Neodiprion lecontei: one gene and its partner. The protein of the gene in region 1 binds, or shares a complex with, the protein of each later gene. Links are inferred from orthologs where the notes say so. Each region holds a gene or a part of one and is shown in the gene's direction. Other genes may lie near its edges.

Region 1 (5,197 bases):
GGAAAATTGCAAAACCACCATCGTGCTTTCAGATACGTGAAAATAAGACCACGCGCGTCGCCGCAAATACATACCTATAGGTATTGTATAACAATAGATTGGTAGGTCGACAATCCTATTGAAGCTTGGAAGAATCGCAGCTGTTTTTAAAATTAAAACTGGAACGTACTTATCGCTGGTAGCGTGGAACCAACTTGCCCAACTTTAACCTGTGCGAAGTTCTATTGTTGGAACAAATAAAACACAATAATTCCGTTTTCACTCGCGAGTATTAACGCGTGCGAGCCGCGCTAGTAGAGACGTGGACTACATAGATTCTTACGGTCTGTTACTGTGCAATACCTTGCTGACTATTTATAGTCAAGCAGAATGGTTCGAGCAAGAATGGATCAAGCCTTTTCAACTAATGAAGCGACTCCGAAGACTTCGTTTTAACTTGTGCTGCTGTCTTGGCCTATATTTTGTTCTGGCCTAAATAATTTACTGATCATTTAATTACACTTAGTGTTACGTTGCTGGACAGGGATAACAAACTTTTAGTCTCATTGACCATCAATTTTTGATTTATTAAAAATATCGGCAAACAAGTATCTGAAAATCAGCCTATGATCAATACAGCTTTCATATTATATGAATAATGCTTGGTACATTTATAAAGCATATGTAACTTCCTATTTACTAAGGCTCATTGCGCCGCAGTTTTCATTTAGAATTTTCTAAAGAACATGTCTAAAACAGTAAGTTTTTGTGGTTTCAATTACATTTCGATCCCCTGGTAATATTTTTAGTTAAAATACTCATCAATGGTAGTAATAAAATAACTTTTTATCAAACAACTAGGTACAAAAATATGTTTTACTAATTAATATGTTAGTTTGTACATGAAAATGGGTGAAATCGGTATTCAAAGTGTGAAACGATTTTTCATCCATCGAAATATTGATCGCTTTGCTCATTCCCTAGATGTACAATATCAGTGAAAGAGGGAATATTCAATGAAAGGTACAAAGTGACTGATAAAAACATTAATTCTAATGATAGTAATTGTCGACACAATCTCAATATCAATCATAATTAGTATTATTTCTACGTTCAATATCTCTAATCTCCAATATGTCCGTTTTTAATCGCAATTTCATAATTTCTCTCCATATATCCGATCTGTGTTCCTCATTCACGATTCCCAATCGCAGTAAAATGTTCTCATTGACCCTCAGAAGCGCTCTGCCAGTTATATCATGCTGTATAAAGAGAAAACAACACAGGAATTAGGACCGCATCTGTTATATTCAAATATAATATGCTTGAAATCAATGAATTATTCCCTAAAGTCAAAATTACATACATAATACAATAAGTCGGACGTTACGTGCTATCATATTCTCTCACTTACATACAAAAACTTTTCATGATACAATTGATAGTAATCGCTACAGTGTCTCCGCAACCACTTCTGTACATCTAAGACATTCCACAAGTAAACTGGACGGGGCCGCGCAGTTTTATTCTGAATCACAGAGAGAATACTTAAGGCATGTGAAAACATTCTCACACTTAATAAAATATTATAACTTGTAATTCCAAGGATGCAACGTAACTCTTACTTTCGGTTTGTTATAAGAATTCACGCTCTCCTCAACCATTATTGAAATTTTAGGGTTAGAAACAATAATTGTTTACAGCAACGAGATCACCTGGGGGATAGCAGAAATTATTTTAATAACGGTGTTAATTGTAAAATAATCGTTTAATTTCAGAAAATGTAGAATACGGCAATTTAGACTCAATATTTGCCGTAATCTAAAAATAGAATTATACATGATAATTGCAGAGGAAACTGTACTGACCACAGTGTACTCAGTAAAATTGCACCATCAAATTGAGCTCGTTTGTTTCCCGTGCTAATTACTCATTGCTGTGCAGATCAGACTTCATCATCTTCAAATCATACACACACGAATGTACAGATATATTTTGAAAAAATATATTCATACGAATCAGTAGATTGTACTGTTATACGCTCTAATTGTAAGATTGTATCATAGTTCAGTGCCTGCCTGACATTTACAGTCAGAGCAAGTTTACAAAAGTTTACAAACATATGACTGATCCACCTGGTGTCGCTTTTAGGAACTAAATTTGAAGCCGCGCTATCACAAGTTACCACCGAACGGTAGCGACCAGTCGTAGCCGGCTACACTTCGTGGCTGGTTGTCGAGCCGGAGCCTTCCGCTGAATTTTGCTACGCCGCGCTACGAACTACAGGCAGTCCGGCAGTCGCCACGTTGGAAGTGTTGACGGTGGTGAATCAAATTTACCTGACGTTACCGAAATTATATTTATAAGGATTATTCATACTGAGCGGAACGAAAGCAAGGTTAGCCACAGGATTGTTTACATCATTATTCGTTTCAATTTTATGCCCAGATTGTGTTCTTAACTGCATATGTCAGGTAGTTCTTATTAATCCGTATGACATTTCAGTCGACTATCAAATCCTGTCCTCCACCAGACAACTGGACCTTTCATAAGGTGTATTACTTTATATTAGGAAAATATTTACGGTTTGTGATCTCATCTTGCAACGATACATCCAGTATTCATTGCTGTACGGCTCTATCATCAATGCTGTAGCTGATCAGATCTCTTGCGTAGCAATATTGCATCTTTCATTTTTGAATTATTGTTAAGAATTCATTACTCGTACTCCGAGTAATTAAAAACTTGATACCACTGTCTGCTGTTGTACAAGTCAGACTATCATGACCCGTTTGGTTGTATTATTGATAATTATTTGTGTACTTATATCTCCAGAAGTGTAACACATATATTTGCTTATGTAACTTTTTAAAAGTCATTAATTTAAAACAATTAATATTTTTATTCGTTACGGTGATCAGTATACAAGATGAAAGTGAAGGAACTGTTACGCACTGTAAATGTGGCGTGGTCTCCACCTGCTCAACATCCGATATTGCTAGCGGCAGGAACCGCTGCTCAACAGTTAGATGCTAGCTTCAGCACATCAGCCAGCTTGGATTTATATGCTCTTAATCTACAAGAACCCGGCTATGACATGGATCTTAAAGCTTCGATATCTAGTGATCACAGGTTACCCTTGAATCATTTTCTTCCTTTCATATTCTTATTGTTGAAAATCCATATAAATTTATGCTATCCTTATCTTCCCTTATGTTTCAATTTTTAGATACTTACTGATATTTAAAAGTGTTTCTTGTTTTCAAGGTATCACAAGATCATATGGGGATCTTTCGGCAACAATCCTGCTGGTATAATAGTAGGCGGTTGTGATTATGGAACTATAAAAATTTATTCAGCGGCTAAGATGTTAGCCAATGAAAGTGATTGCATCCTCAGTAGCCCTGACAAGCATACTGGTCCTGTGCGAGCCATGGATTTTAATCCTTTCCAATCAAATTTATTGGCCACAGGAGCCACAGAAAGTGAAATTTACATATGGGATCTCGTTAATACCAACACTCCAATGACTCCGGGAACTCGAAGTCAACCTCTGGAAGATGTCCAGTATATTGCATGGAACAAGCAAGGTATAGGGTATAAATTATATTATCATAAACTCAGGTGTAAATTTTCACTTACTTATAATTAATCGAATCCCTTTCCAAACTCGACTCAGCCAATTCAAATTCCAAAACTGGTAATTTGCAGACTTGAAACTGTTGATTTAACTTCAAAATTTTTTGTAGAAAACAGTATGATAATTATAAGATCGAGTGTTACTATTTCAGTGCAACACATTCTCGCTTCCACTTTCTCTCAAAGATGTGTGATTTGGGACCTACGGAAAAATGAGCCAATAATCAAGCTGAATGATGCAAACTCAAGGGTAGGTTTAGTTTTTTTCAAGTTAATCAAATTGTCATACACTATCAACCAATTACTCATCTTAACTTCAGGTTCGGTGGAAAGTGGTACAGTGGCATCCAGATGTTGCAACACAGTTATGCCTTGCATCAGAGGATGATCAGAGCCCGATAATTCAGCTTTGGGATCTCAGATTTGCCACATCACCCCTAAAAACTTTAGCGGCTCATCAGCGAGGCGTTCTTTCAATTGCTTGGAATCTACACGACCCTGATCTTCTGGTCAGTTGTGCCAAAGACAATAGAATACTTTGTTGGAACCCAAACTCAACGGCGACTGTAAGTTTATCTACAACTTTGCATGCCATATTTTGACACTTTGATTGAATTTAGTCATGAGTGTTCATTCAATCATAGAATGGAGAAGTACTTTGTGAGTTGGCACAAACAAATCAGTGGAACTTTGATGTCTCTTGGTGTCCACGCAATCCTGGATTAGTAGCTGGCAGTAGTTTTGATGGCCATGCAGTTGTTTACTCACTCTTGGGTGGTCAGCAACAAGTTTCAAGTGAAACTTCGAACAAGATTGCTGATTCGTTTCCTGGAATGGATGCCTTTGCTCAAGCACCGCCATTGCTGCAAAATGAATCAACAGTAGATCTGAAAAAAGCTCCTAAATGGCTAAAAAGGCCTGTTGGAGCTTCGTTTGGTGTGAGTAATCTGTGTACTTTACATAATTGTGTAATCTGTACGTTGAACTAACTTATACTCAGTTTTACCGATTTACAATTTACATTTTAACTCTTTTTGATGATATGAAATGTAGTCAGTAGGGTGTTAAATTTTAATATCCATGTTTAATTTGACAATTACACAGACATTTGTTTAATTTCAGTTTGGTGGAAAACTGACATTATTCGAAAATGACCCACCTAATTCGAATGGTCGAATCATTATATCACAAGTAATAACTGATCCAGAATTAATTCACCGATCAAATCACTTAGAAGCTGCACTCCAAAACGGACAGTTTGGCGATTTCTGCAAAGGAAAAGCTGATACTGCAACTAGTGATCATAATCGTAAAGTATGGAGTTGTTTGGGTGCACATTTTGGAGATAATATCACTGGAGATATATTAGAATTATTAGGATATGATTCGCAATCGATTAACACAAAGCTCAGCAAGTTTGTACCTGAAGAACAAACTGAAACAAGCACTGAACTAAATAAATTAAATAATGTAGGTATTTTTCCATCTTGACACAAACTGAAAAATGTTCATAGTGCTGAATGAATAAAATATTTTCATAAACAGATGAAAGTTACAATTACTCGTTGTAATAGGTTTC
Region 2 (6,638 bases), on another chromosome or scaffold:
TGATATATAATATAAGATGCAATTTGATTACGTTACGTTATGCCAGACTTTGGAATTTTGTCGGTTTAACAATATTGTGAATAATTGAATATGTTCAAACCTCAGGTGAACCCACCACTTAAACGACATCGGTAAATTCAAACGTAGATTATTACATCAGTTACGAAATACAATTCGATCTCGCGATTGTCGAGTAAGCGATGGTTACCTGTCGCGATGCTCATTCCACTTTTAGCAACGCGCAAAATTTCTAACTTTAAGCAGGCTACGGTAAATTAAATTGCGAAAAAAAAATTACTCGACAAAGTCAAGCACGTTGCGACCGTGAATGAGCCTATCCATGCAGCTAAGAAATCCAAGATTCGTGTAACAATTGTTACCGCCACGCCACGTGACATAGGAATCCCAGGGAAATACCCGTAACCTAACACATGCAAACTCACCAACGTTGCCGAGAAATGAAAGAGTTACTCGGAAGTCTCTGCTTAAATCTGTGAAAAACAAAATAGAAGACTTGAATTAATTTTGTAAATTGGCTTTTAGTTTGCAAATTAATTATTATTGTTGTCCAGTTTCATATTTATGCATTGCATGTAATGCAAGAACAAAAGTCCGACTTTAAATGTACCACCTTGAATCAATGGAAAATATCAATCAAGAAATAAAATAAGTATTGTTACCTCGACTCTGGACTGCTCCACGCTTTTACACGTAGTAGTTCTTGTAGCATCTCAGGGTCGTTGGTGAAGCGACGCACGTTTTACACAATTCAGGTCTTCACTAATCTCTTATAATCCACAAAATCCGCACCGCAATAACTCTAGCACTCGATACTACACTCACTTGTTGTGCTGCAGCTGTCTATTTGAACCGACTGAATAAACTTGCTAATAATGCAACTGCGCATTTACCAAAAATCAGCGAAAAAAATAATAAAATTGATATTCCACGCATAGAGACAAACGCGGTCTGAATGTTGAACCGATACTGAGATCACGCGATTTCGGTCCGATTGGTCGGAAACGACTGATGCCGCACGGCGCTCAGAAGAAACTAAAATCAGTTCTCTGAAGGACGGAAGATAATAATTCCCCCGCCCTCTCTGTCGCTCTTCACATGGAGTGGGGGTAGCTGCACGCGCCTGCCTAGCTGTTTTTCCCCTCTTGTAGCCACTACTCGATGAGTAGAGCGACAAAGAGGGCGAGAGAATTATTATCTGCTGTCCTTTAAGGAACCGATTCGTATCTGTTCATGGGACGCTTACACCGTTGCTGACGCTCTATTTTTTAACACGGTGTGCGGTAAGTTCGTTTTACCGTGCCTGCGGAACGTGCGGTAAGTGAATTTTACCTTTACAGCGATCTCTAGAATTATAATAACATACTCCTGCGTACTGTGTATTGACCAGATTATAATCGATGTAAACAAACGCGGCGCTAAGGAGCGAAGGCGATACTCGGATTAATAACATCGATTACAAAAGGTCATATTAGCTTTCCTTTGTGTACCAAAACCACTTTTATCAGATCTTATCGCGAACTTACCACAACTTGTGTCAAAAAATTGTATACATAACTCGTAGGGGCAGGTATCACCTACTTCCTGCACTTGTCACGTAACGTACTATTATATCTATCGTCTCAGCGGCCGGGCGAAAACACCGCGTAAGCTACGCACAACGCGATCAAATGTTTAAAGCATTAGCGTAACATGCAACGTCAGGCGAAGTATGAATTCTCCGACCACTTACGGATATTTCTTGAATGGGATTTTCTCTGCTTTTCAATTTCACTGTGCAACGGTATGTCACCAATGTTTTGCACGCGATAATTGTTAGCAGAGACTACTCATCTCTGGTTGTTAGTTATGAAGAACTTCTTTTACCGACGTGGTTAGTTGCTTGGTTGATAATACGTGAAATTGCTAATACCCCCAAACCTAGCCAGACCCGGCAAACTGTCAGGCAAAATAACCCGGGGTTATCAGTCTTTATATATCCTCAGTCAACGGTCAACCGTATCCTCGAAAGGCTAGGTATCCTCCTTGCGTAGACGCCCATAGTCTGTACGACCGTGGTCCGTCCACAGAGATGCTAATGTATTAGAAGGGTATGCGCATGTGTGAGTGCTTACTTGTCATTGGCTGCTCCGGAGTGTTTCCGGGAATCGTGAGTAACCGAAACGCGCTTCTGAAGTGTGACGTGTATTTCGAGTCATTTCGTGAGTTCCACTTGTTCTGCGATCGCCGATTGTGCGTAGGACATAGGTTAGTAAAGAGTGGTGAAGAGCATTTCCGATTAACAGGACGTTTCTAATTACGCAGTTCTGTGGGCTTGGCTGTATTGTCGGCCTTGTAATTTCAGCCTAAATCGTGCATAGGAAACCGTTTTATTTTGCCCGACTTCGCCTGAGTAAATCAAAAGTAAACAAAATGACGTTCGTTTCGCCGATGCCGAGTCGTGAATTTCTTTGGGATGTCTTCCAAAGGTGAGTTTGTAATCCATTTACAAGGAATACCTACAAACTATTTTTATTGGGAGTTTAACGAGACTTGATATTCGTAATTGATTGCACGTGACGTGTTCTCGACGACAAACTTTCTTTCCTCCCGATTGATATGCGGCGTCATATTACGTTTAAGTGTATCGTCCTTGTATTTTCGAACGCTTAGTAATCTTACTGCTAGAAAATTGGAACGTTTTGAAAATGGGTTTAAATGATTCTATCGTCAACTACTTCACTTTTGTGCTTTCCAATCGCCTCTATTCTTGCGAAAGTGGAACGTGTGAAAGTAATAATATTTCGTGGTCAGTAAATGCCGCTAATGCTTGCCGTTTTAAAACTATTATACATTTTCCTCCAGTTTCCTCTGATACTTATATGTAATTTATTTCTACAGAGTTGATAAAGACCATTCTGGAGCAATAACAGCCGAAGAACTTCAAGTAGCTCTTTCTAATGGAACCTGGACTCCGTTCAATCCTGAAACAGTTCGTTTGATGATTGGTAAGTTTCAAAAAGATGTTACATTTGTTTCATCGTTATGCTGTTCTGTTTTACTGCTTGAAATTAAATTCTTGAAATTAATATGCAAAAATTAATAATATTCATATATAATAATAAATCTTAACTTTATTTTTCAATTACCTGACGTGAAGTTGTATGCATGAATCAATGGTACTGGAAATGAATTTAAACCCTGAAATAGACGGATTTCTGTGAATATTCAAAACAGTCTTGCACTTTTGCTATGCACTTGAGATATACCAGCAAATCAATGTGCAGAAATTATTAAAATCTTTGTGAGATTATGTGCTTTCATTTACTTTGTAATTGCCAAGTCTGGAAACCTGTAGTTAAACTAGAATTTATATACTTTAATTGACATACATTACTAAGAATTGAGAAATAATACTGTCTCCAAATATTATGCAACATGAATGTTATGGTTTTGAGCATGTTTCTGAGAAGCATAGAAATCTCACTACACAGAGTCAAATTTGATATGAAAAGTTGTTGCCCAGGTACCAACCACTGTTACAATAAGTCGTTACTCAAGCATGTGAAAAGAATGTCAGATTTGCTTGGTAGTCAGAAATCATTGTTCGTCATTGACAGCGTGGAGAATGAGTAAATTTTTTAGAAAATATTTGTTTGCAGCATGACAGTGGTATTTTTTCTCATTTAATATGTATGTAATAAGTCAGTCATGATGATTCTCTCCATGCAGGTATGTTTGATATTGACAAAATCGATCCTGCTTCTCCAGGTATGTTTGACAAAAACCAAACTGGAACGGTCAGCTTTGAAGAATTTGGAGCTTTGTGGAAATACGTTACTGATTGGCAGAGTTGCTTTCGTTCATTTGATCGTGACAATAGCGGAAATATTGATCGTGATGAACTCAAAACTGCACTTACCAATTTTGGATACCGTTTGTCAGACCATATAATCAATACGCTTATACGGAAGTATGATCGTGGCGGCAGGGGGACTATATATTTTGACGATTTTATCCAATGTTGCATCGTTCTATATGTAAGCATACTCTGAATTACATTTTGATTCATATATAGTTTGAAAGATAAAATCTCTGCGTCAGTAATGAGTCATTGTACATAAGGACTTATTGACACTCGATCATGTAACTGCTTAATCTTTGCTCAATAATATCACTGAATTTTGGTACCAATAAACTTTTGCAACAGTAGCCAATAAAATACTCTTTTGCATTAATAAAAATAATAAAATCAAATTACAATCATTTTATTATTGCAAGTGTATATTTAATTATTACCGTTTTCACTTACAGACATTGACATCGGCCTTTAGACAGTTTGACACCGATCAAGATGGAGTGATAACAATTCACTACGAGCAATTCCTTGGGATGGTATTTAATCTTAAAGTTTGAAGAAGAATGTATACAGAGTATATGTTCTAAGTATTTTGTGGCACATTCTCATAATTACTATAATATTATTATTTTTAGTATTGTTATATTCAGAAGAATGTGAAACTATTATCAATATCGTTATTGATGTATTTACATCTAGTGCAACTGATCTTATATTTGTGATTAAACAAGTCCCAATTACGTTTTTTTCGCACTATTACACTTATCTAATGTATAAACATGTATTCCAGAAGCTTTCATAGATTACGTTCTTGCATTAATTACATTCACTGCTGTTTCTCCATGCAGTAATGCTACATTATTTTTATATGCAAAATTTTATTAATTATATTATTGGTCGTGGCTAATAACTATTGGTATACATATATGTATATAGGTGATAATACATACACCACTATATCTTTACTAATTATAACTAATCAATATTATTATGCAAATGCCAATTTATCAAATATGTTATCTTTCGTAAGCAAAACCTAAGTGACGAAAATATTACCGTGATATCTCTTGTTCCTCTAGCCTATTAAATTAGGTAAGCATGTTGCGGACTGCTTTAAAAATATGTCGTTAACTTTGGCACACGTTTTAATAAGCATTTACACCAAGAATGTATCAAGTAAGCAAATATGGTTAGATGTAATGAAAAACGATAAAACAAATTTGTATTCAATTTTTTGTGGATTTTAATCGACAAAATGATCGGAATGGTGTTATTTTCAACTTGAGCCAGTCATAATATGATTTAAAAAATTTATATCACGAATCATCGGACACAAATGGATATTTTTTTGAGTACGATTCGGAATTCGAAGTGGAATGTGTGTAAGATTTTTTACAAATGTGTCAGATACAATAAAATCTCTGCCAAACAATTCTAACTACCTGGAAACGTTATAAACTTTGAATTACAGCCTTTGATATTTGCAAATAAAAACTACATGAAAGATGTAGCAAAATTTTATATTATATACATTTAACTTTGTATATGCCACTTTTTTTACAAATACCGGTTGACGATGATACAAATGGTGCCAAAGTGATACTATCGAGCTTGTATTCACTTTCACTATGCATACATTCTCTGATAAGAATTAATGAATTCTCATGTGGATTTTCTAAATATGCTTGAGCTACAAATATAAATGTACAAATAAATGTACAGGAGTTGTTAAATTGTTAGATTTTTTAAAAAAATGTATCGAAATATTCTTGCCTAAAGTTATATTTCGTTTTCAGAGATATCTATGGTTCGAGTTCTAACTTTTTATGTAGCTCACGCAGAGCGCCCAAATGTATATCAGCATTATTATTTAAGAATGACATGTAGTTTCACCATTTATTAGTGAAAGCCTTCTGCGTATAACACTATGTTATATCATTGACCGATTACCAAGATCTAACAATAAAATGTGTCAATGTCAATTATGCCTATGTATAAAAAGAGTACTAACTGAGTAAACAAAAAAAATCACTTCAAAAAATGCTTTTATAATCTTTCTACTCCATTTGTAGTTGTTCCCTATTTCTTATACGTTCATCTATTTTCCAATTATTTTTATAGCTATTTGAAAATATGTAAAATAGCTTTATGAAGAAAATAAATCTTCTCCTTATACGTGATATTCTCAATACCTTCCTTTATCTCTTGATTTTTTTGTTTTATGAAATATTGATTAATTATGTAGGTACCTACTTCTGATCGTTTTGACATGGTAAATTAGTAGCACTTTTGAAGCACCCCACCGTGTCCTGCATGAAATATTGCAAAAATTTTGGAAAAAATTTGTCTTAAAGATGATATTAAAATATGTCTAAATATTGAAAAATCCACCGAGATGAAAAAAGAAAGAGTCCCACTCATTTTTTATTACTACTCGCAAGTCGCGGGCTCATATGCCTATGATTCCGACGTTTGGTGATCACAAGCAAATCACACGGTGATCATTGTATGTGATTGAATGTGTAGGCAGCTGTGTTAGGCAGTGTTAGGTAATTGCGTCATGCGTGGCGCATGCGCAGATCAAGATTTAGGCGGCCGTCATGAACTTGTGTAAACGACGGAACCGTGTTGGGAACCGTGTTGTTCGGTTGTCAAAAGATTACGTTTGAATAAACCCGATTTGACAACTTCGGCTAATGAAACGTTATGATTTACTCTAAATCCGTTAAATGGATTCAGGAGTAAATGTTTCTCGATCTCTTCCGCCACTGGTCGAGGGGAA

The links.
Region 2: the proteins of protein transport protein Sec31A (region 1) and programmed cell death protein 6 are in contact, whole or in part, in a crystal structure (PDB 3WXA), measured with the Homo sapiens proteins. The link is inferred for Neodiprion lecontei from reciprocal best matches to the Homo sapiens genes SEC31A and PDCD6. Residues at the interface, in NP_001070675.1 of Homo sapiens: Asn837, Pro838, Pro839, Pro840, Pro841, Gly842, Phe843, Ile844, Met845; in NP_037364.1 of Homo sapiens: Val31, Val35, Leu48, Ala51, Leu52, Ser53, Asn54, Gly55, Thr56, Trp57, Phe85, Trp89, Ile92, Gln96, Phe99, Phe148.

What each region holds. Positions count from the first base shown.
Region 1 is NC_060260.1:31,677,704-31,682,900, reverse strand, and holds the start of protein transport protein Sec31A, read left to right. Parts: upstream 1-2,160; 5' UTR 2,161-2,377; intron 2,378-2,509; exon of another isoform or gene 2,510-2,532; intron 2,533-2,900; 5' UTR 2,901-2,908; coding exon 2,909-3,111; intron 3,112-3,246; coding exon 3,247-3,569; intron 3,570-3,770; coding exon 3,771-3,868; intron 3,869-3,938; coding exon 3,939-4,184; intron 4,185-4,262; coding exon 4,263-4,556; intron 4,557-4,740; coding exon 4,741-5,088; intron 5,089-5,192; coding exon 5,193-5,197. Other genes in the region: protein aveugle, read right to left, coding at 1,065-1,241, 1,394-1,507, 1,605-1,643. UniProt on the Homo sapiens protein: Component of the coat protein complex II (COPII) which promotes the formation of transport vesicles from the endoplasmic reticulum (ER).
Region 2 is NC_060265.1:9,452,313-9,458,950, forward strand, and holds programmed cell death protein 6, read left to right. Parts: upstream 1-2,042; 5' UTR 2,043-2,430; coding exon 2,431-2,486; intron 2,487-2,898; coding exon 2,899-3,005; intron 3,006-3,729; coding exon 3,730-4,037; intron 4,038-4,311; coding exon 4,312-4,413; 3' UTR 4,414-6,036; downstream 6,037-6,638. Other genes in the region: uncharacterized protein LOC107217557, read left to right, coding at 6,586-6,638. UniProt on the Homo sapiens protein: Calcium sensor that plays a key role in processes such as endoplasmic reticulum (ER)-Golgi vesicular transport, endosomal biogenesis or membrane repair.